Arabidopsis thaliana: one gene and its partners. The protein of the gene in region 3 interacts with the protein of the main gene of each other region in a pairwise test. Each region holds a gene or a part of one and is shown on either strand. Other genes may lie near its edges.

What was found.
Region 1: the proteins of AT4G36860 (region 3) and SEP2 interact in a two-hybrid assay, tested with the Arabidopsis thaliana proteins (one large-scale study listed by BioGRID).
Region 2: the proteins of AT4G36860 (region 3) and LOV1 interact in a two-hybrid assay, tested with the Arabidopsis thaliana proteins (one large-scale study listed by BioGRID).

The regions. Positions count from the first base shown.
Region 1 is NC_003074.8:461,242-472,255, reverse strand, and holds SEP2 (K-box region and MADS-box transcription factor family protein), read left to right. Parts: upstream 1-5,104; 5' UTR 5,105-5,568; coding exon 5,569-5,753; intron 5,754-6,352; coding exon 6,353-6,434; intron 6,435-6,575; coding exon 6,576-6,637; intron 6,638-6,741; coding exon 6,742-6,841; intron 6,842-6,966; coding exon 6,967-7,050; intron 7,051-7,195; coding exon of another isoform or gene 7,196-7,226; coding exon 7,227-7,372; intron 7,373-7,608; coding exon 7,609-7,702; 3' UTR 7,703-7,977; downstream 7,978-11,014. Other genes in the region: AT3G02320 (N2,N2-dimethylguanosine tRNA methyltransferase), read right to left, coding at 60-165, 278-366, 460-532, 618-757, 847-968, 1,098-1,185, 1,278-1,559, 2,064-2,159; AT3G02300 (Regulator of chromosome condensation (RCC1) family protein), read right to left, coding at 8,327-8,375, 8,487-8,678, 8,793-9,224, 9,470-9,641, 9,740-9,812, 9,887-9,934, 10,014-10,207, 10,450-10,738. UniProt on the Arabidopsis thaliana protein: Probable transcription factor. Functions with SEPALLATA1/AGL2 and SEPALLATA3/AGL9 to ensure proper development of petals, stamens and carpels and to prevent the indeterminate growth of the flower meristem.
Region 2 is NC_003071.7:643,855-655,026, reverse strand, and holds LOV1 (NAC domain containing protein 35), read right to left. Parts: upstream 7,490-11,172; 5' UTR 7,023-7,489; coding exon of another isoform or gene 6,984-7,022; coding exon 6,692-6,983; intron 6,550-6,691; exon of another isoform or gene 6,362-6,549; coding exon 6,093-6,361; intron 5,062-6,092; coding exon 4,378-5,061; 3' UTR 4,207-4,377; downstream 1-4,206. Other genes in the region: AL6 (alfin-like 6), read right to left, coding at 406-690, 765-891, 1,477-1,705, 1,887-1,919, 2,094-2,190; AT2G02455 (uncharacterized protein), read left to right, coding at 6,810-7,022. UniProt on the Arabidopsis thaliana protein: Transcription factor that acts as a floral repressor. Controls flowering time by negatively regulating CONSTANS (CO) expression in a GIGANTEA (GI)-independent manner.
Region 3 is NC_003075.7:17,354,026-17,365,742, forward strand, and holds AT4G36860 (LIM domain-containing protein), read right to left. Parts: upstream 8,090-11,717; 5' UTR 7,651-8,089; intron 7,185-7,650; 5' UTR 7,165-7,184; coding exon 6,876-7,164; intron 6,761-6,875; coding exon 6,415-6,760; intron 6,283-6,414; coding exon 6,162-6,282; intron 6,080-6,161; coding exon 5,996-6,079; intron 5,896-5,995; coding exon 5,776-5,895; intron 5,678-5,775; coding exon 5,465-5,677; intron 5,371-5,464; coding exon 5,308-5,370; intron 5,232-5,307; coding exon 5,113-5,231; intron 5,026-5,112; coding exon 4,967-5,025; coding exon of another isoform or gene 4,932-4,966; exon of another isoform or gene 4,875-4,931; coding exon 4,555-4,874; 3' UTR 4,346-4,554; downstream 1-4,345. Other genes in the region: AT4G36850 (PQ-loop repeat family protein / transmembrane family protein), read right to left, coding at 1-72, 160-261, 351-540, 867-979, 1,052-1,150, 1,324-1,350, 1,439-1,481, 1,571-1,797. UniProt on the Arabidopsis thaliana protein: Acts redundantly with DA1 and DAR2 to regulate endoreduplication during leaf development.

The DNA of each region.
Region 1 (11,014 bases), on a different chromosome or scaffold from region 3:
TCCTAAGGGATGCAGTGGATAGAAAATGTATTAAAACTTTCACATGTGTATGTATATACCTTAGGGAGAGATCTTCCAACAGGTTGAAGATGAAATGAATCACAGCCAATGCATTGATATACGTAAGAGAGCTTCAATGGAGTGTTCTTCATTGCACTCGCCGAGCTGAAAATTTCATTAATCTTTGAGGTTTCAGTGAATCGAAAACAAAACAAAAAAATTTGCAGAATCTGAATAACTGAGATGTTACGAGTTTGATTAGACAATGAAAACTCACGTGTAAACGCGGACAAAAACACGAACATAGAAATCCATTTGCACAGATAGCACCGGAACAATATACCGCTTGTAGCGGTTTGCATGGCTCTGCATTAAAGCATAACCAAAAGGTGGAAAAGAACATAAGAAATCAATCTAAACCTGAGAGAATTGGCGTTAAAATGACAAAGATAAACAAACCTCGATGCTGGCAAGGAGGATCCGCAAAGCCATCTCATGACAATACTTCGCTCTCAATGGGTAAGAACCATATCTGATATATTAAAGATTAAAGACTGGTTTAGCCAAAAGGCAAAATCGGTGGTTGAGAAAGGTGTGCAAAAAAACAAAACACTCACTTGGAATAGCAAACTTCACCGTTACCACCACATAACACTGCCATGTCAGTTGCTGTACACATTAGCAATCCACCATCCGTGACTGATTGAATAGCCGAGTCAAGGAAAATAGATGGTGATCCATATGGATCAAGATCAACCTAAGAATATCATTAACCAAAATTAGTTTAACAGAAGCAACTATAGCAATATTCAAATGAACATAATAATGAGTATAAAAGATGCTTACCACATCAAATTCTTTAGGGTGGGTAAGCATATGGACACGAGCATCGGTATGATGTGACTCCACCTTTGAAATAGCCACTGAGCCATTGAACTTTATGTTTCTCTGGCAAGCTTCGACCGATGCTTTTAAGAGAAAAAAGGAACAACATTAGGATATTGTTATTGGGAAGCTACAAGAAACAAACAAATTAATCAAGACTTCCAACTTCCAGGTCGTCTAATCTAATTCATTAAAATGATGAAACTTTTTACCTAAATCATTATCCAACGCCACAACCTGACCAATTCCTTCTATTTCGCGTGCATATCTTAGAGCCCGTAACCCAGAAGCTGACAAAGCCTGAAATATAAGTATGCAAACAAAATTTATCTAACTGCAAGATCACAATAAGCGGTATGAAGCAAGACACCGAATAAAAAATATAGGAAGACCTCAAGAACTTTTGGTGGCTTGGGTTCTCTAGGTGCAAATCGTTCTGTTGTCTTAGCAGGGTCTTTTGATACAGAGCTTGGTCCATCTTCAGATGCTACTTCGTGATCACCATTATTCATACCGTTCTCGCTAGGAGTTTCTTCCTTGGAAGCTTCAGAAGCATCCTTCTCAATCACTTTGGAAGCTGGTCTAGTTCTTTTAGATGACTTAGCCTCATGCTCTTGCTTGCGTTTCGATAGAAATTCCCTTAGAACAGCAATGGACATGTCTCTATTGTTCACCTAATCATTCGATAAAGACATGAAGGGAAAGAGATCAGGTTCACGCTCAGATCCCATGTAGGTTCAAGCAAACACATTACTATCATGACCGGAAGTTAGCTACTTAAATTGGTAGTATGAAGGATAAGTTTCACAAATATCACTCAGTGAAAGATAGATTTCTCTCAGCAACTTACTATGAAACTGGCTAATCCATCAAAAAAGTTTGATACTTTGGTTACTCGAAGACGTAAAAATCCAAACTTTAAAACAATGACTGACAGTTCCTTGATTAAAACAGGTCAACCAAATTCTTGTTACAGAACAAGCGAATAAGCCATGAGCTAATTGGTGCAAATCAATGTTCACTGGTCTTAACAAAGCTACAACATTTAATTACAAATCAAAGCAGCCAATAAAAATCGAACAGAACACCAATTCAGATAACCTATCTCAGCCTCTATCTTAAGAAACACCAACAATTACAAAGAAGAGAAAGAAAAATAAAAGAGAATTTGGAAAAACCTGAGCTTTATTGAAGAAGACTTGATTCTTCTTGTGCATGAGAATCTCAGCTTCTCCTTCCTTGATAACAGTATAATCATTCAGATCCGTTTCCATTGCTTTGGTATTCTTCTTCTTCTTCTTCTTCTTAAGTCTCTCTACTCACAAATCCAATTACTTCCGCTATTGATTTATGTAACTCGACGAGGAATCACAAATACGTGTATGCAATAAATAAATAAAAAGTCCTACCCGCTTCGATTTCCAGAGGCAAAATACCAAAGAAGAAGGAGCTTTAATTTAAAACCCTACTACATAAACTCCCCAAGATCAACATAAAAGATAATGGGTATGAATGTAAGAAAACCAAAGACAGGGTTGGACCAAGCATAAATAAATAAAAGATAACGGGTGTGAATGTAAGAAAACACAAAATAGAGGGATCAGAGACTAAATATCAAAAGTAGAGGTGTTAAAACATGGCCCATGCAGGTTTCGAACCTGCGACCTTCGCGTTATTAGCACGACGCTCTAACCAACTGAGCTAATGGGCCATTTGCGAATGGTAGTGTCTATTTTACTTATTCGAATCTAAATCGTCATAGGTAATTAAGAAGACATGCAAAGCTTAATCAATGATGGATTCTTTGATTCTACTTCTAGGTGCCACCATTGACGCATTCATAAAATCATAACCGGTCGTTTACAAAACATATTGCTTGAATGATTCTAAACAAATAATAGTTTTTTGTTGAAATTTTCAAAACATATGTTAGGTAAGGTCAGGTTTTGCCAATAAGCCTTACTATATACAGTGGCAACATGTTTCTTCTACTTTGGAGGATTTTGGGTGAATATGAAACCCATGTGAGCATGATACATGTGTTTCTTCTTCTATTGAAATTTCCCCCAATGGTCATTTGCTCTTTGCGTTCGTGTTGCGCTTTCCGGTATCAAATCATATATATATATAACCTAAATGAGACTAGACAATTTGAATCATTGTAAAAGGTATAAAGAAGAGATTATAGTCCACAATTAACAAAGTAATAAGACGGTAAAATATCAAACAAATTGAAAGGGTAAAAAAAAAACAAGAGGGACAAGTCACTGTTAGAAAGGTGACTCCTCCCTTTGGGCCAGCCCCCTACCACAAAAGTCAAAGCTTACTTACTATTCAGTCATATATCGACACGTGTACTTCGAACCACATCACCCATCCTATTACGTAATTTCCACTGTCTAGACTTTTTTTTTTTTTTTTTTTTTTACTTTTTAACGTTTTTTAGCTGTCTCTCTAAATTACTACATACGGACTTGCTACGTCACCTGAGAAGAAAGATCTTTGCTCGTAGATTCTTTGTCTGAAGGAAAATTATTTGTATTTAGTTATTTACAATTGCATAATTGTGTGTAGTAAATCCGCCAGAATGATATTAGAGTGATACTGAGACGACGAATGGTGTAACTTGTAACATATATACTAATAAACACGATTGATTAAAAATTTACTATACAGTATATCCAAAACATTATGATTGAGAGTGTACATATACAATAAGTAATTAAACCTCAAAACCAAACAGTTTTTTTTTTTTTTGGTCAACAATAATTAGAAATGAGAATAAACTATTTAACTTATAAATTCTAGACCCAAAAACTCATATTTTACCCTTCTTGGTCTCACCTAAAAAGACTTTAATTCCCAAAACTCTTGCAAACAATGGCCAAACATAGAAGATTGGAAAACAAATTTAAATCTACTTTCACTTTTATAAAGAATAATCAACGAACCAATTAAGTTAAACCTACATATATTCGTATGTGATCACATATGTGTTATATTCCTCACGTTCTCTTCCATTTAGCTAATAACCTTAATTACTTCAAGAAATCATATATCAACCGAAAACTAGTAAAATAAATATACATACTGAAAGCGCGCAAAATTTTTAGCAATATTTTAAAATACCCTACATCATAGTCTTAACTAATTAATCTTTCTGATCAAAATTTATTTTCATAATATTCATAAATACTTATGGATTACCTAAACCAGGATACTTATCCCTATAAATCTGTCAATCATCATGGATTCATGGAGACATGGTCAGATATCCCACGTCCAGATACAATGTAACATATTGATATACTGCGGCTGATTATTATTTTTTACATTAGAACGAGTTTAGATCCAAAACAAAATTGGTATTCTCAAACAAAAATTAAAAATTGAATACGAAAGTAATAGAACAAAACTTCAATGTTGTCGAATAGATAGGAAGCAATAGAAAAGCGACACGTACATGTCCATTTTAAGGTAGGAGAGGCTTTTCTGCGGCTTGTGAAGTAAGAAAAAGAAAATGATGATAGCTGCTTTCGTTTCATTCATTGCAGAAGAAACCAATGTTTCCCCAATCTCACGCGCCTCCTCCTATCTACCACCACTTGGACAAATCCCCTTTTCAGTATTAGTTTTTTTTTCCGGACATTGTACATTCAAAAGCATTCCAAGTGTCTAATAAACATAACTAACCACTCCAAGATGCAAAATCTAGCTACGAACAAATTTTAAACTATAGAGATGAACTTTAAATTCGGGCATTAATTAGTGGAACTTGAGCTATTGATGAGTTTTCTGACTTTTTGAAGCTTAATTGAGTTTTATATACACTATATATAGGCTTGTAATAATATGGATCAAACAAGAAATATATAAACTACAAATTGGGAATTAGGTTTTAAAACGTTATCGTTCTATTTTAATTCAGGCACCTTTAGAATATCAAGATCCATGCATGTTTCAATATTTCTGTTGACAAATAAATAAAGATGTCTCAAATATGAAGTTTGGGCAACGTACGTGTAGACCTAAAAGAGTCGAAACATTGGTATCTAAGTCATATATCTAGATGTATATGGACATGGATTATATAACTAGACAACGTTTGTTTTAAAAACTTAATTCATTTTTCTTAATTAGTAGCAACTAGCAACTAACTACTCATGGCAAATAATGGTGTCTGCGTGGCACGCACTTGGGAGAGAAGGTGTGAGAATGTTTTTTACTTTCTGTGTAAAAGATGGAAGAGAGAGAAAGAGTAAAGAAGTAGAGAGAGAGATATTGTATCACCAAACCCTAATGATCTCTCACCCTCACAAATTTTCTTATCTTTATAGCTTTTATAGATTCACAAAAACTTTTCTTCAGATTCACAATCTCATCACAACCCTTCAAAAAGAGAAAAGATCTAAAGAATAAACAAGAGCCCTAATATCAAATCACAACCAAAAAAACCAAAGAAAGCTAATTAAAGTTTTCTCTCTAGCTATTCCTCTTCTTTTCTTGTTCTTGAAAACTAGGGTTTACTTCACCAAAAGATAAGATCTTTCCCCAGAAAAAGCAATACCCAAGTCATGTTTCTGTGTGTCTGTATATAGATAAAACATTACATACCCTAATAAGGTTACACAAATAGCTATAAAAGAGGGAAAATAAGATAGGGATTTTTTGGGGTGAGGAAAGATGGGAAGAGGAAGAGTAGAGCTCAAGAGGATAGAGAACAAAATCAACAGACAAGTGACGTTTGCTAAACGTAGAAATGGTTTGCTGAAAAAAGCTTATGAGCTTTCTGTTCTCTGCGATGCTGAAGTCTCTCTCATCGTCTTCTCCAACCGTGGCAAGCTCTACGAGTTCTGCAGCACCTCCAAGTACTTCTCTTTCTTTATACACTTATTAGATCTGTGTGTAGATCTTTCATTTTTCTAGTCTTGTGATGAGTTTTATCTTTCTTGATTGCTTTTTAACAAAATACTTGATATATTTTCAGTTTCTTAATCTGATCTCTAATTAGGTTTTGATTATAGAAGAATAATTCAGTACTTTCAAGTGATTGAATTTCGAGATCTGATCTTAATTTAATCATCATGTCAAATTCTTAGGGATTTAATTGCAATCTATTTTTAGATTTATCGGAGCTAGGAAAGTATCATAATGATATACTATTATTATCATGTAATTTCATTGTCTCTACACGGATATATATGTGATTAGAACTTGGTAAAGTAAACTAAAGATTCACAGTCTTCAATGAAATTTAAAAGATCCAACGTAGAATAATTAGTGGTTCCATGCATTAACCAGTCTAATTAAAGCTCATGCAGACATTTAAGCACCACATGAATTTAATATCTTTTTAATTAAGGGATCTTCTTTTTATAAATTTTCTTTTGTTAGTTTTTAAAATTTTAGTTTGTTCATTAAATTTATAGATTCTTCTTCTCCTGATTTGTGTTTTTTGATCTTTCAGCATGCTCAAGACACTGGAAAGGTATCAGAAGTGTAGCTATGGCTCCATTGAAGTCAACAACAAACCTGCTAAAGAGCTTGAGGTTTAATCTCCAACATCTCTTCGATCTTAATTATTTATCCTTTTTTAATTTTATCTAAAGAAAATGTTTGATTTTGAGACAAAAGCCCTTCAAAGTTTCTTACATAGATATTCAATTGTCTATTATCTTCGCAATTTTCAGAACAGCTACAGAGAGTACTTGAAGCTGAAAGGTAGATATGAAAATCTGCAACGTCAGCAGAGGTATATACATTAATGTGGATGATGATCATTTATAAACAGCATATATATATATATATATATATATATATATAGTTTGTATTGATCATGAAAGTGTGTTGCTGCAGAAATCTTCTTGGAGAGGATCTTGGACCTCTGAATTCAAAGGAGCTAGAGCAGCTTGAGCGTCAACTAGACGGCTCTCTGAAGCAAGTTCGCTGCATCAAGGTGATTTACTTCTGTACATACACTGAAAGATTCACACAAATCTTTCTCTATATATAGACTGAGACACATGCATGAAATGTTTTTGATGCGTGAGGTTATCTGAAAATGCCTCTTCTTTTTTGCAGACACAGTATATGCTTGACCAGCTCTCTGATCTTCAAGGTAAGGAGCATATCTTGCTTGATGCCAACAGAGCTTTGTCAATGAAGGTATATGATGATGTTTCTCTCTCTCTCCTCCAGTTTCTATTTATAGATGGAAACTTTAAATAGTCCAATTTATATATATGAGTCTAAATTTCACATTCTTCAACTGCTACATGTTTCTTTTGTATTATTTCTATGATATCTTCAGGAAAGTTTGAAAAATATTGTGTTTTGTTTAGCTGGAAGATATGATCGGCGTGAGACATCACCATATAGGAGGAGGATGGGAAGGTGGTGATCAACAGAATATTGCCTATGGACATCCTCAGGCTCATTCTCAGGGACTATACCAATCTCTTGAATGTGATCCCACTTTGCAAATTGGGTAAATCAAACAACTTTTCTTGCCTTAAGACATCAACTTAGGTTATAAACAGTTAGCAGTTTGCTTTAAGCCCAACATTGTCTTTGTTTCATAGAGGCTTTGGTTAAAACTCGTGTTGTTTAGTCTAAGGATTCAGCACTTTGATGTCTGAAGTATGGAAAATCAATATCTCAGACTTGAAAATGTGGGTTTCTATTGTTGACTTCGAAACTATGTTGTTGTGGTGTTGCAAACAGATATAGCCATCCAGTGTGCTCAGAGCAAATGGCTGTGACGGTGCAAGGTCAGTCCCAACAAGGAAACGGCTACATCCCTGGCTGGATGCTGTGAGCGATACTTCTTCCCCCAATAAAGATCTTAAGCAAGTACTGGTGGGGTCTTCGTGGTGTGATCTTAGATCTTATGCATATGAATAATAATGTTATTGCACAAGACTTTTGCTTTTGTAGACACAAGTGGCTATAGCTGTAATAGCCTTCAACATCTCTCTTCTGTTTCAGGATTTGTTTGTGCCTATTGTAATTGCTTATATATGTATGGTTTGTATAATGTGTGAAATGTTAACATCGACCATGTCTCATCTGGTGAAGTACTTATCCTGTCTATGCATGATACAAAAAGACGTGGTTAGATGCTAACCGCAATCGCAAACACAGCTTGTGACAAAGGCATATAAACTCTCAAGTTAACAGTGACATTCAACAGATCACAATGCCACCAAGATGTAGCTTTTATTTTCGATTCTAGTGTACAGAACATATAATTACAATATCTGGATCTTACAGAGGCAGGACAAGTAATGAAATCTGTCCTGAAAAGTTAAATGATACAGAGAGTTCTGCTGAAGAATGTAATTTCTGGTTTGCTACATTCTTCAATTTCTCAATAATATAGGACCAATTGTAATAACTTCCAACAATACTAAATTGTTTCGGAGTTTGGGGATTGTGCTTTTTAATATACTTCTTCCCCATTAGTAAAGTCCCCATCAAGTAACTGCTCCCTGAAACACATCAAGTCGCATTGTTTAGCTTTACTTGACTTGGATTCTTTCTAAGTTTCAAAGTTTAAGGGGTAATGAAGAAGTTTGTCCAAGAACTTCAACTTTGCTTACCTCAGTCTTTCGCAGAGGCGGGCTAAAGCTTCGGATCCCATTCTGAATGCAACATCTTGAATCTCTGAAGCATTTGAGAGGTTCACACTATCTGCTAATTGAAATTCACACAACTCCTTCAACGAAAATGCATCGGTTAAAACAGCTGAATGACCACCTCCTGCTGCTAGCTTCCTCACTTGTCCTACACACCTGAACGAAACACCAGAGTTCATGTTAATCTAACTGAAAAATACCACAATCTCTGTATCCCATACCGTTTTGGTTAGCAATTGAATAAACAATACAAACTTGTTTGAGCTATACCAGTCTACAGGCGATGGGTACCAAGCATATGACGATTTCTCATTTGCTGCTTGACCATAACTATTATAACCCCATCCACAAATTCGTCCCTCTCTCATATAAACGAGAGTGTGAGAATGTCCACACGCAACAAGCCTGACATCAGTTGGGATGACTAAAACCGGGACATTTCGTAGAAGCATTTCGCTTCCATTAGAGACACTAAAAAAGAAACCAGATTGAGGACCAAGTCCTAGCTGTCCTGCTTGGCCACCACCCCAAGCATAAAGTGCTCCTTCCAAAGATAAAGCACAAGTGTGTACACCACCACAAGCAACTTCTTTCATGGACACACCATCGAGACCAACGACTCTCCTTGGTATTAACTCCTTATCCCCGGATTGAAGAGAAACATGCCCAAGTTGACCCATGCTTCCTAATCCCCAAGTGTAACTGCCACGAAAGAGATAAGCAGTGGACACTGAATAAGATAAACCGAGAAAATATAAGCAAAAGGGAAGAAGACTTGCAAGTCAGGAATTCATTTGCTTCCTCAAGCATTCCCATCTGCTAGGATGTGATGAGACCAATATCTCCATCAAAAGGATTTCCTTCCTCGGAACATTGCACAGAGAATTAGCTACCCATTCATGTGAATAACCACAAACTTTTCAAGAGAAGGCATTTAGATAACTTACACCTCGCCTGCATCAGAAAGAGCAGCAGTATGGTATTCTCCACATGAAAGTTGCATAATCTTCACAAGCTCGGGTGCTTCATCAAGGAACTTCGCATAAGCATTTATCACACGAGGTGCTTGTAGTCCTTCACAAGTGACTCCTCTACCAAGTTGGCCTTGTTCATTATAGCCTTATAATATCCATGGAACACAGAAACCTCAAAATCATTATAAATAAATACCAAACAAACAGATTCTAATGCATAACAAGATCTCAAAGCATTCTTACCCCAAGCTTGAAGAAGGCCTTCCTCTGATAAGGCCACAACATGAGCTGTCCCACATGATACTTGGCGGATTGCCTATAATATGTGCAAATACCAAATCAATGTCTACACTAGTATGTTTCTATCATGGATAGGATTTAAGTACATACCGTTGTAGCAGGAAATGCCCCCGAAAACAAGCGTGGTAGATTTGATCCCTATCATGAAAAAATTGAGAGAGTATTAGAAAAATACATGACGTGACAATTCCAGTCACGATAATGGAACCTGTTATACCTGATTTTGGCCCCAAACCCAGAGTCTACTAGTGGAAAGAGTACCGTCATTTTCACGGGGTTCTGCGATAGCTGCAGTGCAAAAAGCTCCACAAGACACAAATTTCACAAATTCTGATTGCAGCTGTTTCACCTTCTTTGGATGTTTCCTCCCAACCTCGGTTCCATCCCCAAGCTGACCATATTCATTAGCACCTGAAACGAGGACATAAAAATGTAAGAATCATCCCGTCTTCAGGAAGTTACGGATTGCCTAAGATTCAATCACAAGATCCAACAATTATAACCAAACAACTAATTGGTAACTACTTAGATTGCTTTCTATCACACTTGATACATAATCAAAGCCAAGAATTACATAAAGAAAAGAACTTTATAACACAAGAAGAAAGACAATCTAGTAACAACACAAAGGAAAAGAAAACTGAGAGACTGACCCCAAGCAAAGAGAGAACCATCTGATGCAACCGCAGCTGTATGTTCCCGACCACAAGAAATATCGAGCCAACGCGAATTGGCACCAGCGGGGCAACCAAAAAGCTCAGGAGGAAGCTGTTTTGGGATACGCAAAAGCTTCTCTTGTTCATTCCTACCAGTTTGTCCGCTTTGATTGTAACCCCAAACGTATATAGCACTCTTCGTTGGGATACTCACAGAAGGAGCTACTTCACCAATGATTTCTCCAATATCCATTTTTAGAAATTCCCCTTTTAAAGAAGAAAACATGCACAAAATTGTTATTCTTCTTAAAGACCCAAACTTTATGAACAAAACTCTGACTTTTACAGAAATGAGCAGAAGCGATCACGAATCAGGCAAGTTTTTCAATACCCATCTTAGAGCTAATCGCGAATTACATAACTAAAGATGACACCACACGCATATGCACGAGAATCACAATTAACCAAAAAAAAAAGGAGAAAGAATCTGAAACCGTACCTCACAAATCAATGTTGAAATTGGATGAATCGCAAATTCTGAAGGTCTTTGTTCGGTTTTTGG
Region 2 (11,172 bases), on a different chromosome or scaffold from region 3:
TATGAAACAAAATAAATAGCTAAATAAAAGAGAGAGTAAGATAAAAGATGAATAAAAAGACTACATAACGACATAATAGTTTTTACAATTTTAGCAAATTACTAATCAGAAAAAAAAAAAAAAAATTACTAATCAGAACTAAAATATCTTAAACAGACCAAACAAATTAGTAGTAGAATTAACATTAACAACAACAAAAATCCAAAAAAAGAAAAGAAAAGACATCACCAACTGTAGATAGTCTCAATCCAACAATAAAGACTAAGCAATACAATTTTTTTTTTTACCTGCTTACATCTTCTAAGTCCCTTTTACTGGCATTTCTTATAAACTGGAAACTTCACCTTCTTCTTTCATAATTTTCTCCTAACTCGCTTTACCTTTTCATAATTTGGTTATTTAACTTCAAGGTCTAGCTCTCTTGTTACTGCAAGTTGGGCATTTGTAATGCTTGATGTGTTCTGCTTTTGCAGGTGTTATCTTCACACATTTTCCATGGAACCATTTCTCACACGCGTCGCAGCAAATCCAGAACTCATCTGTACCGTAGTTGTCTCCACAAGCACCACAAACCGCACCTTGTTCATCGTCTTCACTCTCATCTTCACTCTCATCTTCTTCTTCTTCTTCTTCTTTTGGCGGTGGAGATGACATCTTTGCAACCTTTGAGAGAGATTCGGATTGGCGAGACTGTTTGTGAGGAATACAAAGAGATAAAACTTAGCAGAGATTGATAAAACAAAATGGTGAAACAGAAGAGATACCTTGACGCCACTAGGTTTGCTTTTGCTATTATTGTTGTTAACAGATAGATCCTTGGACTGCTTTGCATTGCCGCTCACAACTTCGAAAATGGTTGGCAGCTCATTAATCATCTGGAACAGCCTCTTCCTGAAAAAGAATCGGTCCATGGCATAAGCTTAAAGGCAAGTGATAGCTAAGTTGTTCAAACAAACCTAATGCCAGAGAAGAATTTGATGAGATTCAGAATCAACAACTCATTCTGCTCAAGCTTTTCGTTTAACCTGTCAGCTACCAGTATCAAATAATGGATTCAGTGATTGTTGCTGAGCTCTCAACAAAGGTACAATGCAGTGGAAACTACCTAGGCTAATTACAGTGATCCTGCACAAGACTAATACAAGAAGTACTAATCAGACTTAGAGGCACATATCACATCTATTGACTAATATATCTATCTCAATAACATTGATCCAGATTGGTGCGATTCATAACTCTAGTCACTTCAAAATAGAAACTGGGAACCACTTACAAAAAGAGTTACACAGAAACCGACCCTATAAATAAGATCACGTGAGTTACAAAAATCCACACAGAGATTGTTGTATCAGACAAATAGACAAAACAAGAGGATGCTAGAATGATCATTATAACCTTACCACACATGAGTACACCCAATATTGTCATAATTGAGATGCAACACTCAAAAACACTGAGCTTGAGAAGGACCCTTACCTCTCATTCTTGCCAAATCCGAAACGTGCACCAAAGTAAAATGCAACAGAAAGCAGCCATGAATCACTGTGAACTGCGACCAAAGATACCCAGTCCTTTTCTTGCATTCCGTCTCTAGCGAAATTGATGCCTAAAGCTGGTTCAGGAAGCTCAGGAGGAACTTCCTCAACGGGTAGATTAACCTCCCATGTCTCATTTGGAAGTCCATAGAGACACAAATTCTCCTTCTCTACATAAACAAGAATGAAACACCTTAAAGAAAAACCACACAGAGGAGGACTAACTAACTCAATCTTTAACCAACACAATTCAACAACATACAAGCTCAACAACTTCAACAAAACATTTCACTAGAAACTATAGAAGCTAAGCAAGACTAATTTTTTAAAAGTTGTGAAGAAATAACTCACCAGGATCACACGTTTGGTAAAACTTCACCATATCTGCATAAACAAAACACAAAACCCAGAATCGTCAAATCTCACAAAAGAAACCCAAAATAAAAAAAGTTCTTCTTTTTTAACAAATGAAAAACCCAAATGCCACAAAATCGTAACTCTGTAGATACTTATCATTCTGATTCGCAAGTGAGAAACAAGAATCAGACCAAAACTGACCATTAGTGAGAGCTTTAATAAGACCAGCTCGTCGACCTCTGAAGTCGCTAAAGACCTCTTCAACAGTACGAGGTATTGGATGAGTAATTCCCTCCATTTCACAAACGATGTCGCCGGAGAAATCGCCGGAGAATATGAGTACTCCGGTCAAAATCAAAATCTGAGACAAATGTTTCCAGGCAAACAAAAGAAACCCAGAAGGAAAAATATTCACTTTGGGGTTTCGGATTTGGAGAAATGAAATTTGTAAATCTCTGAAAGAGAGAGTTTTTTTTTAATTTGGGGGAAATTGAGAAAAGAAAAAAAGAGAAAGGAGCTACAAACCCTAAAACGATAAAACAAAAGGGACCGATCAAAGATTAATTTTGGGGCTGAGAAGTAATATTAATAAAGACAACATTGTCTATTTTATTATTTTTGTATTAATTAAATAAAGACAACATTGTGTATTTTATTATTGTTTATGTAATAATATAAAATCTATTTATTAATTCCGATCTACATACCCTATTTTTTTCCGAGCTACATTCCCCACTCCCAAATTTTACATTATTTTTATTTTGGTCAAAGACATTTATTTAAATTTTATTTTATTTTTAAAAGTGTCGACGAAAAAAACATGTATTTTTTTTTTTTAACATATTCATTTCCATTAATATTACGAAAAAAAAACATGTTTTTATACGTAGGCTGAGGCATCCAAATTGATCCACAAATTTGGTTTTTGTTTTCAATTAACTTGACCTTAAAGATAAAAGTTAAAAGTTAAAACATTCAGGTCCATCTTGTATTGTACAGAAATAGCATGCCTGGCCCATTAAAGGATAGTGGGCTTTTATAGTAACCTAGGGGAAATGAGATTTGAAGTTTTCAACGATCATCACATTCACGTATTTTGAAAGTTTTTTTCACGATATACACCAGAAATAGATATTTTGAAAGAGAAAGCTACTAAAAAACGGAAAACATTTTGCCTTTTATCACTCAAAAAAATAAAAAATTCATCAAATTTTTAATTATTTTATTGTTTTTATGTGTGATTCTAGATGTAAGAATTAAGAAACGAACCAATATTAATCGGATTCGTTATCTTTGAATATTTTTGCGTTAAGCACGTCGTACTAGCTAGCGAATACGTTTACCGCAACTGTAATCTAATTCGTCACAGAATATCAATGATGTGGTATAATCAACTATAATCTTCTTTTTTCTTTGGGCAAAATCAACTATAATCTATGAATATATACTTACTAATATAGGTGATAGACATATATTATTTAAAATAATCTAAGAAAACATGCAAATACGGTTACATCGACCGGTTAGAAAGGGAAAAAACTTTAAAATTAGTACTTTCGTATCATATTCAAGTCAGTATATATTAGGATTTTGCCACATTACATATATTATTAAAGATTGTTAATAATTAGGATTAAAAAGACTAGTATGAGAGTTAAGTCAAGTTTAAATTTGTTTTTCTCATTGAGAAAAAGGGAACTGATTTCTTACAACATACAACTGTTCATGCTGGTCATATCTGACAAAATCACGGGAACAACTGCTCTTACCAAATATTGCACGTCCTATGCTTTTTTTTTTTGTCAAACCCTAATTAGTCTTATATTTACAAAGACAAAAAACTAGCTAACATCTTTTATCTTTATATATTTCTATCTCAAAATTAGTTGTTGAATTCTTAAGAGTTAGTGGATTGTTTATCTATAAAGTCGCACTAACAGGTAACTAAAATTAAACATCTTGGATCTAATGCATGTAAATGACAATGCAAAATGAATTCTAATAAGTGATGAATAAACAACAAAAAATATCAACATTCAATTTGAAATTTTGAAATGGAATGAAGACCAAATTAAATATCACTAGGTTGGATTTACGGTTACTATTGTTATGGTTTAGTTAGTGTTTGGTTTTAGTCTGGTTTCGGTTAGGGCTCGTACATGAAAATCTAATCCAATAAGTTTATTTCTTCTTTGGTTTGTTTGAGAACTTTTGATACGGATTGCACTCCTTAGTCATTTTGTATTCATATATTACAGTGAATTTTTTTTTTTTAACTACGTTGAATCTAGCTTAAAGAAATTAACTTTAACACAAGAAAAAAAAAACTACTTAATTGACTATATATGTTGAGAATCAGTTCCATTACATAAACTCGCAGTAATCAATCATTGTCTATCGCCATAACAATATATAAGGAGTATGAAAATATGGCAAAGCAGCATTAATAATTATTGTCATGGATAATAATCATGATCTAATTAAATTACTTAAAAGGAATATTAGTATAGTGATCTCTGTTTCCATCTGGTACTATTGGATTCCACATATCCCACAAAGCATTGTTTGGAATCGTTCCTGCAGGAATCATGTTCATAGCTAACGCCGCTTGAGTTTGAGGCATTAGCGTTGTCGCTGTAGTCGCCGCAGCCACCAATTGTAATGCGTTTGCGTTAGCATTTTGTTGTTGAGTATGATGAAACTGTTGAGCAATTTGAAAGTATTGGTGATTGATGTTACCTCCATCTGATATTTGGTAGTTAACTAGTCTTTGAAGATCGTCAACAATGGCAGTTTCATCATCGTCTTGATGATTTCTCGTAGAGACTATCAATGTGTTGTTGCTTGTGTCGTAAGGCATTGGACGATATATGTTTTGATTGGCTAGAGCAATGGTAACGTCAGAGTTACTGTTTGTGGTCGTTGTTGTTGTGCTGCCGTCGCCGGAATATTCGGTGGAGAGCTTCTCGAGATTGTTGATGTTGTTGTTGTTGTTAAGGTTGTTGTCGGAATGATTAGAGGAGGATGAATGGTGTTGTTGTTGTCTTAAGGCTAAACGGGATGATGTCGATGAGTTATGGTTATGATGTCTTGTGGAGAGAGAACGTGGTACCGATGGATGATCTTCTACTCCTGGCCTTTTGTACACTCGGCACAATGATATTTCAGCCTATAATTATACATGAGCACATTGATTAGAGACTTGATACATATATCAAATTATCAAATATAGACTAACAATATCTATGAAAAATATCATTTATCGAAGATATGGTTTTGAAAGAAGATTCACAAACTATGTAAAGTTAGCATTAGCAAAAAAAGATAGCACGTTTAGAAGAAATTTAGAGTACTATCATATGACGTAACAATGCAAATATAATTAAGATGATTATATTTATTATTTTTTATATATTTAATTGCGTAATTTTAGTTTTATTAGTACAAGTGAATGTGCAATACATACACATAGATAATTATGTCAACCCTGTTGTTTTAGCTGTCTTATGCATACATCATAATATCATATATATACATAGAAAATTTTATAAATTTATGGTTTCAAATGGTGACGACATATAAGTCGAAAGAGCCCAAAAAATGTATTTATCTATCCATTGTCATTTTCCGTATACATAATATTTTTTCGGTCTACTCCATAAACCGTTATCATTCGTATAGATTTTAAATGTTCGCATATAAATATGTTGGTATAATTCATATATGCCAAATTATTTCAAAAAATGTTGGGTAACTTAAATAGAAGACATGAATTAATGTGAGGAAGAGCAGGAACATTCATGTCATAAATTGTAAGAAAAACTAACTATGTCTCTGCAGAATTAAGGTATATGAATGTCGAGTGTGATACTTGTGTGTTTATATATATGTGTATGCATCTATCTATTAATGTATTCTACTATAACATATGGGCCATGTCTAGCAATTTAAAGAGTTCACGCATATGACATGAACATTTTTCTGGATTTAAGCGCAAACGCCGCCTGACATTTAGTCCATTCACAAGTATTTTTGATCTTATCGAATCAATTCCAAAATAAATAAATAAAACTAGTCAAAAAAGAAAAAATTCAAACTGTCTAGGGATTAATTTCAATTTTAAAGGCCTCACCACCTAGCTAGGGTTATATCTATGTATGTATGAATAGGATATATATAGAGTTATAGTAGAATTTATACCTTTTGGTACTTCTCGGTTTCATGGTGCGGAAGACGATACTCGTTCATGATCCAACTAGTACGAGTGCCTTTAGGGGCTTTACCAGAGTAGAAAACTAGGGTTTTCTTTAATCCGATAGGCCGAGAAGTCTCCGATCTGATCATCCTATCAGCTCCGGTGGCTTTCCAATATCCTGAAGTCGTTACTCGGTTCGGTCTATCTCCATTTCTATATTTCCGATCTCTTGGCACATAGAAGTACCACTCTTTCTCTCCTATCGCCGCCATAGCTGCATATACATATATCTATGATTAAACATACATAAGCTAATTATGAAAACATACACATATTTGTATATCTTATGATATATATGTAGGTTGTTTAATTAGGTTAATTTAAGAAAGAAACTAAAGAGGGAGAAGCGTTTAAAGATATTGAGAATTGTTAACGATCGACATAGTAATACTTCATAAGGAGGTAGGTACATATATAGGTTAAAAAAAAAGAAATAGAGAGAGAAAGTGATAAGAGAGAAGAAAGATCTTAACATATGAATAGAAATTAAGATTTCCAAATAGTTTGAGATGATTTATGTGTGTTTATGTGAATGTATATTTACCAGGAAGTTCCCAAGGATCATAGCGATAAAGATCGAGGAAAGTGATGAGTTCTACATTAAAGCGTTTGCCTTCAACTTTTCGGCGAAGGTAAAACTCTATGAGTTCTTCTTCGGTAGGATGGAATCTAAATCCGGGCATGACCATGTCATGATCATGATCATCAGCTTCATCTTCATTTTGGACATGACTCTCTTGGCCGCCTCTATGATCATTGTCTTCTATACCTTTTTCGTTATTGTTGACTTGGTTACTCATGGGAATGATGCTTGTTGTGGAGGATACAATTGCCATATATCAAAAAGACTAGATATGTGTATGCATGTGGATTAAGGTGATATATGATGATGAAAAGTGATTAAGGGTTTGCTTGGTTTTTATACTAACAATGGAAGGGAAAAAGAGAGATGAAATTGAGTGGTGTTGAGTAGAGATAAGAGGAGGAGAAGAAGAAGAGAGGACGACTATATAGGAATGAAACGTCATCGTTTTTGGGAGTTGAGACCAAACTAGAATAAGACAAAGAGAGAGAAGAAGAGAGTTAAGGAGGAGACAAAGACTTGTCAAATTGAGGACAGGGTGTCCACGGTTTTGTTTTCTTAGCCGTGCCTTTGGACCTTTCTCTCACTCTCCATTTCTAGCTTTTTGTTTCAAAATAAAATAAAATATCTATCTATTAGTTTTATGTATTTTTTCTAAATACTAAAGTTTCAAATATTTAATAATTATTGGGTTGTAACACAAATGAAAAGAACAGTTGATATCTTTTACAGGAAAAATTAAAGTTTATGTATTATAAACGAAAAAATATTTTGAAACAATATTACGAATTGACATCTTTCAAATGGATGTCATGGACCTCATGGTTACTAGTTCAATTATACTTGGAAAAAATAATAATTAATGTTTTAAATGCAATATCAACAATTGGTGTGGACATACGAAAAATATAGACCGAAAGTCTAAAATTCCCAAAAACTATCATTCTTAGAAAAAATATATCATGGTTTTCTTTATAGTTTTATTTGCACATGCACCATCTCATGCACGTTAAAGATTCATTAGTTTTAGTTAGGTATATGATTGGTATTTTATAAAGACAATCTAAACTTTAGAGAATAACAAATTAAGTTGATTTCATGTATAATTTATGTGTAAATAGTCTATATTTTGTTTTGGTTTTTGTTCCAATCCATCGCTACAAAAATTGCGAAAGTGTAACTAATCTAATTCTCCTGATCAAGGCATAGCGATAAAGGATCCATAATAATTCATTGTTATAGGTAGACTAATTGAATAACGGATATTCTTAAAACAATGTTAAAAATTTGGATTATTATAGTTAATTTATTCATCGTTGAGACAAAGAATTCTGATTGGTGGCCTATATTACTAATTAAATAATAATATCACGTATGCTTACTATGTCACTCGTCATAAATATATTTACGTGTTTTTCATATGCTTCAGCTTCACGAACGTTCTCTTATTGTTTCGCTATTTTTTTTATGATATATTTGGCCCACCATATCTTCATTGCATGATACTACTATGTCTTCAATTATGAATGCAAAACAAACTGACCATGATTTTGCCAACGCTCTCCATGTTCCTATGACTTAGTAAGAAGCTGAACTTACAGTACATATGTTAGAATTTAGAAACCCGCCAGTTCTTTAAAATTTGTATTAATATATATAGATACAATATATTATATTTAGATATATGTATCTATAATCTATATGTATAATTGTTCCATTTTATTAATAATTCAAAAAAGTAAATAAGATATAGACACAAAACAATAAACATCGTAACAACATTAGCATATATATATATATATATAGCTGAGCTAAAAAGGCTAGGCAAACTGTAATATATTTAAGTTCATCATGGAAAGATAGATAAAATATATACTAAGTACAAATTTCATACTTACAAGTTTATATGGAAAAATGAATTTAAAGTATCAACGTAAATGAGATAATGAATGAAATTAAAGTGAGGTGGTAGTGGGGCTTCTACGAAACGAGAGTGGGGTTTTTAGAAACCTTACTCTACGTTGTAATGACTTCATATTTTATATTTTTATTTTGTCAAATGTTTCAATGGATGTCATGGACTTCATATTTTTTAGAAATCCGTGAATGCATATATCTCATTCACAACAAATTTCATTGGATTGAGCTCAGTGTAGACAGACATTTTTCAATATGGATGTCGCGTACCAAAAAAGCTTATGAAACGTGGAAAAGATAAACTATTCAACAACCATTAATTAGACCATTGCGATATCAGAAAATGAACTTTTTTGTGTTGTTAATTCGAATCTTCGTCAAGAAAATTATCTAGTTACATGATTTTTTTTGTTTTTATGTTTAAACAATTTATAATATATTTACTACGAACTAATCAAATAGTAAATCAGTAGACATACACATATTTCAAAAATTATTATACCAGTTTAGTTTACATAAATGTATAGCTTTTGGATATATATTTAAGGTTTTCATTAAAATGAATGTAGGTATGAAAGGAAATATTATGTATGACATGGAATCATAGGCATGGACCCTTCGAATATTGATATCAGTAAAAATATAAAATGGCGATAGAAATTAGGAATTAAATGTATTATAAGAGAGTTTAAAAGTAGATTAAGCTAGTGCATAATTTAATGCAAGCGAGTCTTCCATCGGTTTGGCTTTTAGCTAGGGGTAGCAAGTAGGGTGGCGGATATTATATAATGTACATTCCAGAAGATTAAATCATTTTTTCAGTTTAAAGTTTTTGCAATTGTAAAAAATTAAGACCTTTTAATTTTAATTCGAAAAGAACATATATTTCTATTATTATATATATGACATATTATTAACTTATATTTTGTCTTCTGATTATTACATTTTCACATGAGTTTGTCTTCGTTAAAGTTTTAATTATTATATACTATTGTACATATACAGCATAATAGCAACTCAGCAAGGGATTACTTTGAAAGTCTTAGAATCTTCAAGCTTACTATTTGGCTAAATATGCAATATATATACACGCCATTAGTTTGTGCTTTAGCAATTGATTTAACCAAGCTGTAAGAAGATAATTCGTCTGGTAATTGTTGTACCATTACTCTGTAAACTTTGGGTTGTACTCTTCATTTTTTCTTGCTGTAAAAAGAAAAAAAAAACACCTAAAGCATGTAAAATTCTCATATTGCTTTAAACCAAAACAAAAAAGGAAAGATACAAAACGTGGTGAGAAAATATAATATAGTTATAGAAGTTGTGAATTTTAGAAGGGACACACTATATACACTTGAGTCTGATTGGAAAACAAATGTTATAAAAGTGCATAATAGCTGTAAGAATTTCCTACCGATCATACTTTTGCTTAAATCAATTATAATATGAAACGAGGAAAAATTTAAAGCGGGTTCGAGAACAAGAATTTAAGGATTTGAAATAGGATGATGCTAGAATAGGTCCAGTAATAAAACCCCTAAAAGTCTTATGCGATCACTATCACAAGTCTTGTCCTAACTAAAATAACACTTTTAACCAATTATCGATTCGTTTTTGCCCAGAATAGAATTTAATTGGATTTGGTTACCATCATTACAATTTCATTGGTCATCAGTTTTTGTAGTTAGGTGATTTTAGTTTACTTTTACAAGTAATAATTGAACTTTAGTATTTCATTATTCCACCAACTTTATTATTATATACTAGTATAATAGGCACACTCTTATGATTATTGACCCTTCTTTTTCGCAATAATAAATATATTTCAGATTGTTTTGGGATGTATCTAGATTCCAATGACATGTATGGACAGATTGTTTTAATATAAAAAAAGTATATGCTCTCCAAATCAAGATTTGGATCGTATCTTTTACATTCTTGTGTGCTATTAATTATTAAACTTTCGATAACTTAATAAAACAGAAATTTGAATCGGTTAACCAACAACACTATCTCGTTTCTCATCAAATCGTGTACTTAAAATAATTAAATTTATAGTGATAATATAATTTGGATATTAGATTTTATGTAATCCACAAACATCATTTTCAAATTAATACTATATTAGTATATTAGTCAAACTTATTAAGTTTATATTGAGTATCCTTCACTATCAAATCTCTCTTACTTTTTTTTTTTCTTTTCTCTTTTTGGGATAATCTCTTACTAGAATGTTGTAGTTAAAAGAGACATTTTTAACTTCCAATAAAATCATTCATATTTAGCTTTTGTTGGTTGAACCAATGACTATGTTAATAAGACTATATTTTTCCTCGTGATTGGCTATATTTGTCCTGGTCTCACGTAGTCGGAAAATATCTAGAACAGTAACTGATTTTTCTTCATAGGTATTTAGATATCTTATGTTCAGAGAAATTACCAAAGAGCCTCTACACATATATACCGTATGTAACTATGTACTGTGAAAAACGAGCAAAATAAATCATATTATTTAGATTAAAAGA
Region 3 (11,717 bases):
ACCGCCCATGTAAATGGCGGCCATTAGCCATCCCAACCATTGTCCCAACGCGCTATGCTCTACTATTCTTTCCTGCACAAAGACAACAATGTTTTGATATCATTTTCTCGCATTTCACTCATACCTTTAAAACAACAAAATGCTATATGTGTCACACACGTTTAGAAGCCGTCTGCTTGAAGCATGTGCATATTTTTCCGCTAAGCTCTTTGCCTGAAGCGGAAGACTAGCCGATGCAGCCAAAAACGTTCCAAAACCTGCCTGAGAAAAAGAAGTCCAAAATGGGTCAATATTTGTTCTCTTAGCTTAAAGTGATTTTAAGTTGGCTAAGTTAAAAAGAAATTACAAACCTGTCTAGGTATTGGCCTTGGTTTTGTAATGGTTTTAGCCGTTATGACAGGACACGTCGACATTGTCTCATCTTCGTCCGATGACGAACCATCATTGTCGATTGCCAGAGCCGAAGGGCCACTCTTAGCCACTCGAAAATACGATGTTCTTAAGGGAGGTGTGCCACTTCCGGCCAACGATCTCGCCGACCTGAACAAATAGCCCCCCGCAAAACCACTTGTCAGTTGTCACAATTGAATATAGAGAGCGGACATATATATTCTATGATATAAGAAAATTGAGAAAGCTAAAGGATAGGTTCGAGATTTTATCAGCAATTATGTAATTATTTTATGAAAAAAATCGTTACCCTTTCCCTCTGTTTCTTCAAAAGCTTGAGAAAACGACAAGAAAAAACAGAGTATGCAGGGGAAAGCATATAATAATAAAATATACGAAGCTTTTGTCACAAACTTTAACTTATTTGTAGACAAATTAGAGTAAATAAAATATGATTTATGTTTAATAATCCGTACGTGTAATAGAACTCTCTCCGAGAAGAATCTTTGTAAGATCCTCCTGGGATGGAAATAGCAGATCCCATCGTCTTTGGTGGTTTCAATGGTCTCTTCTCTTCATCTTCCTCATCCTTAACAAAAAAAAAAAACCCTCATTATGATAATCAACACCTAAAAATGTAATCAACTCTTATAATTATTACCTTTTGACAAATCTTGGTACGTCTATGTCTACAAAGTTTGTAGATGTAATCGTAGTAAATAGTCTGGATCACCAATACTACAGTGCTCACTGTGTAAAGCTATAGAGAGAGGAAAAAAAAATAGTTACGGGGCTGATTTGTAAATAGAATAAAATAAAGCGGTCGAATAAAATAAATAAATCCGAACAATTGACGCTAATTTTAATAGAAGCGACACGTAAGCTTTGTAGCGACATATGTTTATTTATGCGGCGAGAAGACGGTGATGTTACCAAGGCTGTGTAGAACTGAGTCGGCAACTACACAATTCAAAATAAGATAAACAATGAGAAAACAATAATAAGACATGAAAATAATTATGTACTATAGATGTTTTGTGTATCTTACAGTAGCTGGTTCAAGAAGACAACCGACGAGATTGAAGATATCACTGCACCGATTGATAAAATTCATATAAAATAACGTTAGGGAAAGAGAGAGATTATGATAACAAAGAAGAACTTGAGATGGTGTACGGACCCGGCGACCCAAGCGAGGAGGAAGGAGAGAGAGACACCGTTACTTGACTTTGTACGGAAGTTAGTGATGACCTGAGGAATCTCTGCGACTCCCCAACAGAGGAGGCTAGCGATTCCAAGTGCGAATGAAACGTCGTCGTTTAAGTTACAGAGACAGTCATCGAAGTATATCTCTACCCATCTCACGCATGTCTTCTTCTCCTTCAAGCAGTAACCTAAAGACACCATATGTCTCTTTGTTTAGGTCTTCTCTCTCTATATATGTTATATATGTCTTACTCTGTCTGTGTGTATGTCTCTCTCCCTCGGAGGTTCTTGATTATTTTATAGGATTATGGGTGAGGAAAATGACAAATCATAAGGAGATAGGGGAGAGAGATATCTGTAAATACATGTATTCATTCATATACTTGGGACCATTTATTTTACTTCGTATATTTTACCCACCATATCTAAGCTTGTTACGTTATACTTTATTGTAATGTTTCGAATCATTACATTATTAATCTTATAATATAGTTCTTTGATTGCTTTACTTTTGGATTAACAAGCATTAACAAGTTGTTAATGTTAAGGTGATTAATAATTATCAAGGGCACATAAAAACAAGAGATTTCAAAAATTAAAGTTGGAGGGTGGAGAAAACAGTCGACCTATGATTAATGAGCATATTCTCTTTTATCTTTTGATGCTCTGCTGAATCTCAGATGTTCAGCCTTTTTAGTACGGTTTATTAGGTATATTCTTTTTCACGATTCTCCAACATTTTGGTATACATTTCTGCGAAATATATATAACCTAAGCCCTAAGAAATTGTTTTCGTCGTCATACATATATGTTTTTAATGTTCTTTCAGTAATCCTAATCCATTGGCCGAAAATGTATGCAATAGTTAAAACCACATCTAATCCGGTTTGGTTATGTTTTGTACTGATTATTCAAATCAAAGTGTACGAGAACTTAATTGGAGTAAACTCCATGATGTTGACATTTTATGGTATAAAAGATGCTGTAAAAGCTTTACAACATTATTGATTAAGCAACTTGCATTTTGTAGTTTACTTGCCTATTGATGTTAATGAATCTGGAAAAGCCCGACAAAGTTGTACATTTGTAACTTTGTGGCGTAGCCACCATATTCGTGCGATTGGCTGCCCCCAAAACAACGGTCCACATTTTTACTGAACCAGGAATTTAAAATTTATTTTATTTTTGAATGAAGGTGCCAAAGCCAAATAGCCTGCTTAGTGCTGACTGCGTGGTGGCATCATGTTACGATGATGACGACATCTTTCATGAACCGACTTTCGAATTTAATGACATCTTTTAATGACACCTTGGTGAACTGTTTTGCATAAATTTCAAGTTAGTTAAAAAAAAAAGGGAAGATAGTTCTGTATATAATGTTGCAGTTTTGATTTGTTTCTCAAACACTAAAAACCAAAATTAAAATTTTGCAACCTTCAAATTATACTTTACAACTTTTTCAAAAGGCAATAGAATAATTTCAAGATTAGCTAGTGGATTAATGAAATTCTCTGGTTCATGAATTCTGAAATAACAAAAAAAAAAGAAAAAGAAACAAAGGTTAATACGTTTTGTCACGTTACGTCGTTTTTGCCCTCGACAAGACATTATGAACGATCAATTCATTAGCCCTAATTCTAAATGACGAGTACTCTACCAACCATTAATTTTGTTAACATCATACGATATAATGTTGACGAATGACGATAATATCTAGAAAAAATTGAATTCTTAGAGGTGACTTTTAAAATATGTCATACCAAAGAAATATATCATGTCCACTAAAACGTCTTCACTTTAATCGATCGTAAAAACATCAAGAATCCGTTTGCTCTCCCTCTCCAACATGAGTATCCTCATTTTTTTTTAACAAAAACTTTTTAATATATACTTTAAAATTAGATTTCAATATTAGCAAAAAACCATTAATTTCTATATCGATGAATAAAATTTTGATTTGGTTATAAGAAAAAACATTAGCTTAAATAAAATTTGTTGAAACATAAACGCTTGATAGAGAAAATGTTTTAGAAAAAAAAACCAAAGAGAGAAGAAAGAAACGGCGACGAGGCGCCGCGACAAGTTGGATGAGGAAGTGGGAAACACGTGTGAATATATCATCCTATCTCTCTATGTTTATCCTCATATCCCACATCTTCACAATGTTTTTTGTATCTCTTTATCATCATTTGTTGATAATGTCTAATATTTATATTTGGAAATTAATGATTGACAATTGACTTGAGACGTTTTCGTTTTTTATACTCTAGAGAATTGACTGAACATCTCGATCGAGAGAACTCATCTTCCCATAATACTAAGTTACTTGAATGTTGTTTTACACGATCTTGTAGACCATAGTAGTTTTGATCAACAAAATATCATTTTACAAACGATAGAAAGATAGAGAGCATGGAGTGTATTTTTTCACAATGTCTGTATTTTAATTAACAGATGGCAAGCATGCATACTATAATATTAATCTAGTTAGACAGGTCAATATGAGGATACTTCTACATTCTACATATTTGACCTTCGTCCTCTCAGCGAATAGAAGAGCCATAATATACAGTACATATTATGATATAATGTGGAATTGTGGATATACAAGTCTATCCATTTTCGGATTTTCCTTATCTTTCATACTTTTATCCACTGGTCCAGATATGATGAAGTCAAACTAGTGATTGTAGTAATTTAGATTTTGAAAACAGAATAATTTGCTATCTAAGAAATAACAAGCAAAACGTTTGGCAAAAAAAGATAAAAACCAAGCCAAGAATTTTTGGTCTTGTTTCTTGACTCTTGATTTTTTACTTAAAAAGTGGAAACTTTATGACACTTAAATGTGTGTATTGTTGTAACCTATACATTTTTCTTTTTCTTTTCTTCTCAAGTCTATACTCTAAAAAACTATAACAAAGCTTGTTTTCTCTCTTTTTATAGTTTAAATTCCATTTAAGGAAATGTACCGGTCAAGCGAATATGGTCGAGGGTTCGCCTCAGACCATGCTTAAGAACTGCTTGGTTACCTTGCCTGAACCCATCCCCATATGCCGATGAAGAATCCGACTCGATTTGATGCTTGAAAAACTCACCAAGTTTCTTCTCAAAATCAGACCTCTCACCTTTCTTGGACGATGCTGACACCACAGCAGATGATGAAGAAGATGCGATGTCTACTAATGTAGAGCCAGCATAAGTCTCAGATTCCAACCACATGTGTGCTAAAACTTGACATATTCCTTCTTCCACTTCTGGTCTAAGATTTGGATACCCTACAGATATACACAGAGCAACAAAACATTTTTTGATATTTCCCTACGTTCAATTGCTCAACATAATGAGAAGGGAGTGTTCTTCAGATTACCATTTAGTCGAAGCCATGCATGCATCATCTCATGAGCAAGGATTGACCCGGTTAACAAACTGTACAAGTGTAATACGAAAATTTTAGATATCTTATAAAGACAAAAATTTGGTTTAGGAGTGTGTTGAGAAGTGTTTTTCTTTTACCGAGGAAGTCCATATAAAATGAGAATCGCAGTGACTTCACAACGACGTATCAGCCTGCAAGGCTCTGTGATCATGTCTATTAACTTGTAGCCTGCCCCAATTCTTGGTCTCCTTAACACCTATATCAACATCTTTCTGATTCAGAAGCAATTTGTGGTGGATAGCAATTCATTACAAACTTGGAAGAATGAATACCGTGGTGACAGTTTGTTCTTCAGACAAACAAAGTCCTCTAGTTTCAGGTAAATGATGATGTCCCTGCAGCAAAATTAGATAGAAGTAGGTTGAAACAAATGAGCGAGAGAGAAAGAGAGAGTATAAACATAGTATCAATAAGATATAGAGGTTTTACGTGTTTCTCTCCTTCCATAGCTTCGTTTAGAGCTGATCTCTCCACCAAAAGCATAGGAATTTGCTGTTCCACTTTCATATGTAAGCCTTCGTAAAATTCACGTATCTCAAGGTACAATGGTTGGCATTCATGAGTGTCCATAATGGCTGAGTCGAGACATTCAAGACACAGTTTTCGACCATCATCAAGAATGAGATATTTTGTATCTTTTGGCTGAAACCATGAGCCAAAAACAGAACAACATCTGGTTTTCGAATCAGATTCTTAAATTTATTTTCCTATTAACAGAAATGCTATATCGAACAACTGACCTCCATTCGCTCACAACTGCAACACCGAGGAGTTCCATCACGCTCATGTGAAGGACAATACTTTTGCATCCAAAAGGGATGTGCCCTATACTCAATAAGACCAGCTGGATTTGTCGGAATCTAGAGGAGTTACATTTATACATACACATTAAGCTTAGTACAACCTGGGAACAAATTTTGGGTAAAATATAGAGATCAACAGAAGTTGGCTATCACTCACAAAGTTATGGCAAACATCACATTTAGGATGATGCTGCTCCTTGTAACATAATTTGTGATAAGGCCGATTTCCTGACATTGAGAACTGTAAAACAAAGCTTGAACAGGTTAAGCTTCAAAAGAATCAGGAGGATACAATAATAATACTTAATAAAATGTATAGGGACCTCATAATCTATGATGGGCTTATCACATGCATTGCAACAGAAACATTCAGGATGCCAAACGCCACCCATGCAACTCAGAAACCTTCCATGTCCTATCTCAGCTTGGCAACCGACACATATCCTCCAAGAAAATAAACAAAGAAACAAAATTGACTCATTGGAGCTAATGTGATCATGCATCATATCACTATCTAGAGATGATAGTGTCTGAAAATCTAAGAAATGGACATTAATGTATTTTTGAACCATTTACCTGTGACTAGAAGGAATGAGGAAGGGATATGGTTGAAGTATATTTCCTGGATCATATCGAGGAGGAGATCCCACATTCATACTTTCTTGAAGGGCCTTGGCGAGTAGCTCATCTTCCTCCAGTTGGGCTTTAGAACGCCTCATTTCTTCCTCTTCTAATCGAGCTTTTGCAAGCAGTTTCTCTGTTTCTTCTAGTTGAGCTTCAGCTCTCCTTTTCTCTTCTTCCTCGATTTGAGCTTGAGCTACCCGTCTTTCCTCTTCCTCTGCTGCTTCTAGCTGAGCTCTCATGTATTCTTCATCCTCATCCTCATCGTCATCGTCATCTTCTTCGGTTTCAGATTTGTACTCTACAGAATATAAGGTTTAAGAAACAATTTAAGCAAGTTACATTTCCACACATAACTTTCTTTCTTCTCTTTGTTTTTCTCTATGCATTACCAACGGAGAATTAAACAACATTACCGATTATTTTCTTTCCTTTGTCATCTTGTGGAATTACATGTTCTTGTTCAGAAAGAGAAAGTGCAATAGCACATTCAATCTCCTCTTTGTCAAAATCAGATCCTTCCTGAATCAGAAATTCAAGAAACCCTTTTATCTTCAATTCAAAATGAACCAAAAAACAGTAAAGTTCACTTACCGCAGAATAACGAGGACCTTCCAAGTTTCTATCTTCTCTATATCTTCCATTACATTGTCCATCAGAAAACTTATGGCTAGAACCTTTAAGGATTTTAGTTAGCCACCCCATTGGCAACAACAATCCCTTACCTGCATAGAGAAACACTGTTATACATCCAAGAAAGAGAAGAAACTCCATGTCTTTTGTTTTTTTGTTTTTCCTTAATCAAGGATTAAGACAATAATTGGTAAGAAAGAATCAGACTGATCCAACAAAGAAAGTTAAATAATATGCAAATGGCAAAACAGCAATTGAAGAAGGTATTATTATAGGGAGATTGCATCAAATATAAAAGGGTTACCGAAATCTTAAAGACTGAATTGAAAATAAGGAACCAAAGTACGGAGCTTATTACAAACAATCTCAAGACCCTAAATTGTAATAATATCCAGAAAAAGATTATCCACATCATCCTCAAAACAATCAACCTAATCTACATTCATCATTCCAAATACCCATAAGAAGAAAAATGAAATCTTTATGAAGTTTATTACTGTTAAAGAAAAGGAATCTAAGTACAAGTCAAAAACAGAGTAAAGAGAAATCGCAAATTACCTGAAGGAGATGACAATAAAATTAGCAAAATTAGATGACCCTATGGATCAAAAAAGGAAACTCAATAAACATGATTCTTCAACTTCTCTCGATCACCCTAAAAATCAGGACTTTCTTAGGGAATTGACAGCAGAAACAGAGCAGCAATAGAGAGAGAGAAAGTGAAGGGAGACACTTGAATTCGAAGCAAAACCCTTTAGCTTTTAGAACCCGTGACTGTTAATTATCTTAAAAAGCGTGAAGAAAGCTTAATAAATGGAACAGAATAGAGAGAGAGAGATGAGTAGAGGATAAATCTCCATTAAACACACTTAAAGGTAAGAACTTTATGGAGAAGATGATGGAAATTGTTACGTTTTTTTTGGTTGGGAAGGTCAAGCAAGTGGGCACTTGTTTACAAAAAAAAAAACTAATCATATTATTTTACGGAAGAAATTATTAAGAAGGTTTATAGAAATCAAATGTTTGAAAAATTAAGAGAGAAGAAAAAAAAGAGCTGATGTTTACTAGCATTAACACTAGTGACACACAATCTTTGACTCTCCTCTAATTTACTCTTCTTTAGCCTTTTTTCAACACTCCTAAGTTGATGATTTTGCTCATGACTTTTACTATTCACAATAAAATACCGTTTTTTTCTTTCACATCAAATTTTTAATTAAAATTAATAGAAAAAAGTAAAATAAAACAAAAGTTTAATATACTTCAATGAATAATAACTCGCACATGAATGGAATAAATTTTGTGTCCAACACATCACCCTGTTCGAAATCCCCTGGTCTGTAAACCCAATTTTACACAAAAATACAAAGCAGAAATATAGAAACTGAAAAAAATCATTGAAAATTGTTAGTAGGTAAGGTTATCTAATACTTTATTTAGCTCAACCTAATGCATTATTTAGTTACATACGACCAAATTAATTGGAAAAATATAGACAATATTATCTGGATAATTAGATGAGATGACCCATTGCTAATCACAATTGTACATTACAGTTTCTTATATATATTATTATTTTATTTTTGTGGTTGAGATTAAATTTTGTTAGAAGGATCAAGAGAATTCGGTGGGTTCAATATAAAACCACATGTGAAAAAAAAAACGTGTATATTGTGATTAGCCAATCAATTAGTTGTTTAGGTGCCCAAACTTACTGTGCCACCGCAAGTTTTATCAAAATTAGGTGCTTAGCAAGATGATTCAACTACTCCAGGATATTTTATTTTCCTCTGTTAATATTTTTTTTTTCTGATTGTTTTATTTTAGTAGTAGTTGAATCAAGTGACGTTCTTTAAATTGTGATCCCACTCACTTCTTACGCAAGCAATGAATTAAAGTACTGCAATAGACAAACTTATTTGTTATATATTGGTCATCAAAGTTATCAATTAGCTTTCCAAAAATTTCACTTTATTCACATCTATAAATCATTGACACTAATACTGATGCCATATATTACTAAAGAAAAAAAGAAAGAAAGATAGTTGTATTATCCAGTGGCCATATATTTTAACCAGGCTTCTTAAGGCCCATATGGTAAATTTGGGCCGACGAATCAAAACCCTTATTGTAGAATAATTTTTAAGTTTAAATCAGTTACAGATAGTTGTATTATCAGTGGCCATATATCATATAATGATTGTGGGCTGGGTTTTTTTTTTTTTTGTCTAACAATTTTTGACGATAATATCTTTAATATTGAGCTACAAACAATTTTCATTTTAAAAAAATGCGCCGTTGAATCAAATAGAAAACAGAGAAATCATGTTGAAAAAAACAAAACAGTTAATTTAGAAAATAAAAATTTATGTATTGACAAAAATCCATTTTCATATTATATAATTACTCCCTTTTGACAAGAGAAGTTATTATTACTCTTCGACCATATCAATTTCTAAATTATTTTTAAGCATAAAAATAAAAAGAGTAAAAAAGATTTTGAAGCTTGGTGATGAAAAGTTGAAAACACAGGCTGTCACGCTGGATGATCAAAACACGTGGCACATTGAGGAACGTTGATCCCAGCATGGACCACAAATCCCACGTGGCCATGGCCATCCCTTGCCGGTTTTCCAGGTGGACCAATCAAAATTAATATGTCTCTTAGGACCATTTTTTTTATATGTACACGTTTTCATTTTGAAAACATATTGATAAGGAAAAATAAATCAAGCATTTTTTTAGTTGTAGATTACAACGACGGTGTGACTGGTTCGCTGCTTCTTTTTTCCATTGGGGACTTCTATAATTTAGTCACTACCAATAAATCATTCATCATAATTTAATTGCAAAGTACAGATATCTCCTAAACATGTTTATCAAAAAATGTTACTCCGTGTTCATCTACGATTTATATAAATATTAGAGATATAACACTACGGTCCTTATACATAAAAGAACTGAATTAAGTGTTTTGTATAATATTTTCTTATGTATTTATATATATATATACAAAAACATTATAACAAAATGGTCAAGATATCCAAAAAGCTACTATAACAAATGGTCCTAGCTAATTATTGGTGGTATATGAATCTAGACAAGGAAATAAATGATATGAATTCGTAGAGGTTGTTGTAATTGTATTAAGGTTTAAATTATACTCTTTAGATGCAAAATAAATAAAGAAATAAACAATAATAATTGGAAAGATAATATTGAAAAAATGTGGTGACAGAAGACCATGAGAATGTTGGTCCCTTGGACCTTCGCACATAAAAACATTTTGCTTCTTTTGTTTTTCTTCATTTGATGACAATTTTTGCTTTATTTAACCAACTATTGCCCAATGGTAACTTCTAATATAGGTTCACACATATATTATCAATAGTTGATACTTTTTACTTCTATATTGATGAAATTGGAAGAAAGGTCCGTTGACTCGATGGTCCATATACAGTTTTAATTTAGATGAGCGATTAGTGAGTTTTGATATACATTATTCATGAATCATGAACTTAACAAACCTTTCAAGATAAGGCGTTGCATATTCTTGAATATATATATGATTTCAGATCTCATACGAATCATCAATTTTAACTTATTTCATTTGATATAATAGTTTATCCTGTTTGGCCAATTCAATGGTCATTTTCTATACAGTCTCACATAGTTACAGTTGCATGTACTACTGAGTCATAGTCATGAGTGGCACATCAATTCACTAGCTGAGATGTGATTTCTTTTATATATAATAATCAGAATATAAAGACAAAAAAAAACATCTTCAATCAATCCTTGCCCTATTTTTTTCATTAATTTCTAACGCGTGAGGATTTGGATATACAAAGTATTTGTGGTTGTTCGCGGAGAAAATATGATAGGTTAGAAGTTAACATCATTAGGTGAGGATTTCCCAAACTTAAATTGAATTAATTAGTGCATAAGTTTAGTCTCTTTTAAGACTCAACGTTTGATCATTGTATAAGGATTTAGTTATTTGATTACATTTACACTATCATCAAGTGACCAAAAAAAAAAATTACAAGTGACCTAATTCAGATTCGTTGTGATCTTCATGGTGACATAAACACAGAAGTTTTCGCAAGTACCTCATGGGAAGTAACATTATTCGAACCTTGATAAGACAAATACACTGACATAGTAGTCGGGGACAAATTTAAAGAAACATGTCGTTCCTAGATTTTGACAGTTTTCATGCACACGCATACGTTACATATGTGTATATGTTTGTATTAAAAACATTAAAACAGTTCTCAAAAGCAAACCTTAAAAAGAGTAGTGAGCTTGTTAAGTCAAACGATTAAGCAAAAACAGTAAAACACTGTTAGATTGTAAAATAACAATTAATGGTTAAAAAGCAAAAATAGAAACAGAGTAAAAGAGTTGAAAACTACTATTACTCATCAAACCAATGAAATAAGAATCTAAAATAGAAGATGAGAAAGAAAAAAAAAAGTAAATACGAAAGGAACAATTTGAGTAACACCAAAAGGACAAGAAATGGAATAAGAAGGGACCATCACTGCCATTTTCACAACTCCCTTTGTGGTCTCACTCTCCCATTACTCATGACAAATAATCAAATTTATTTGTTTCTTTCT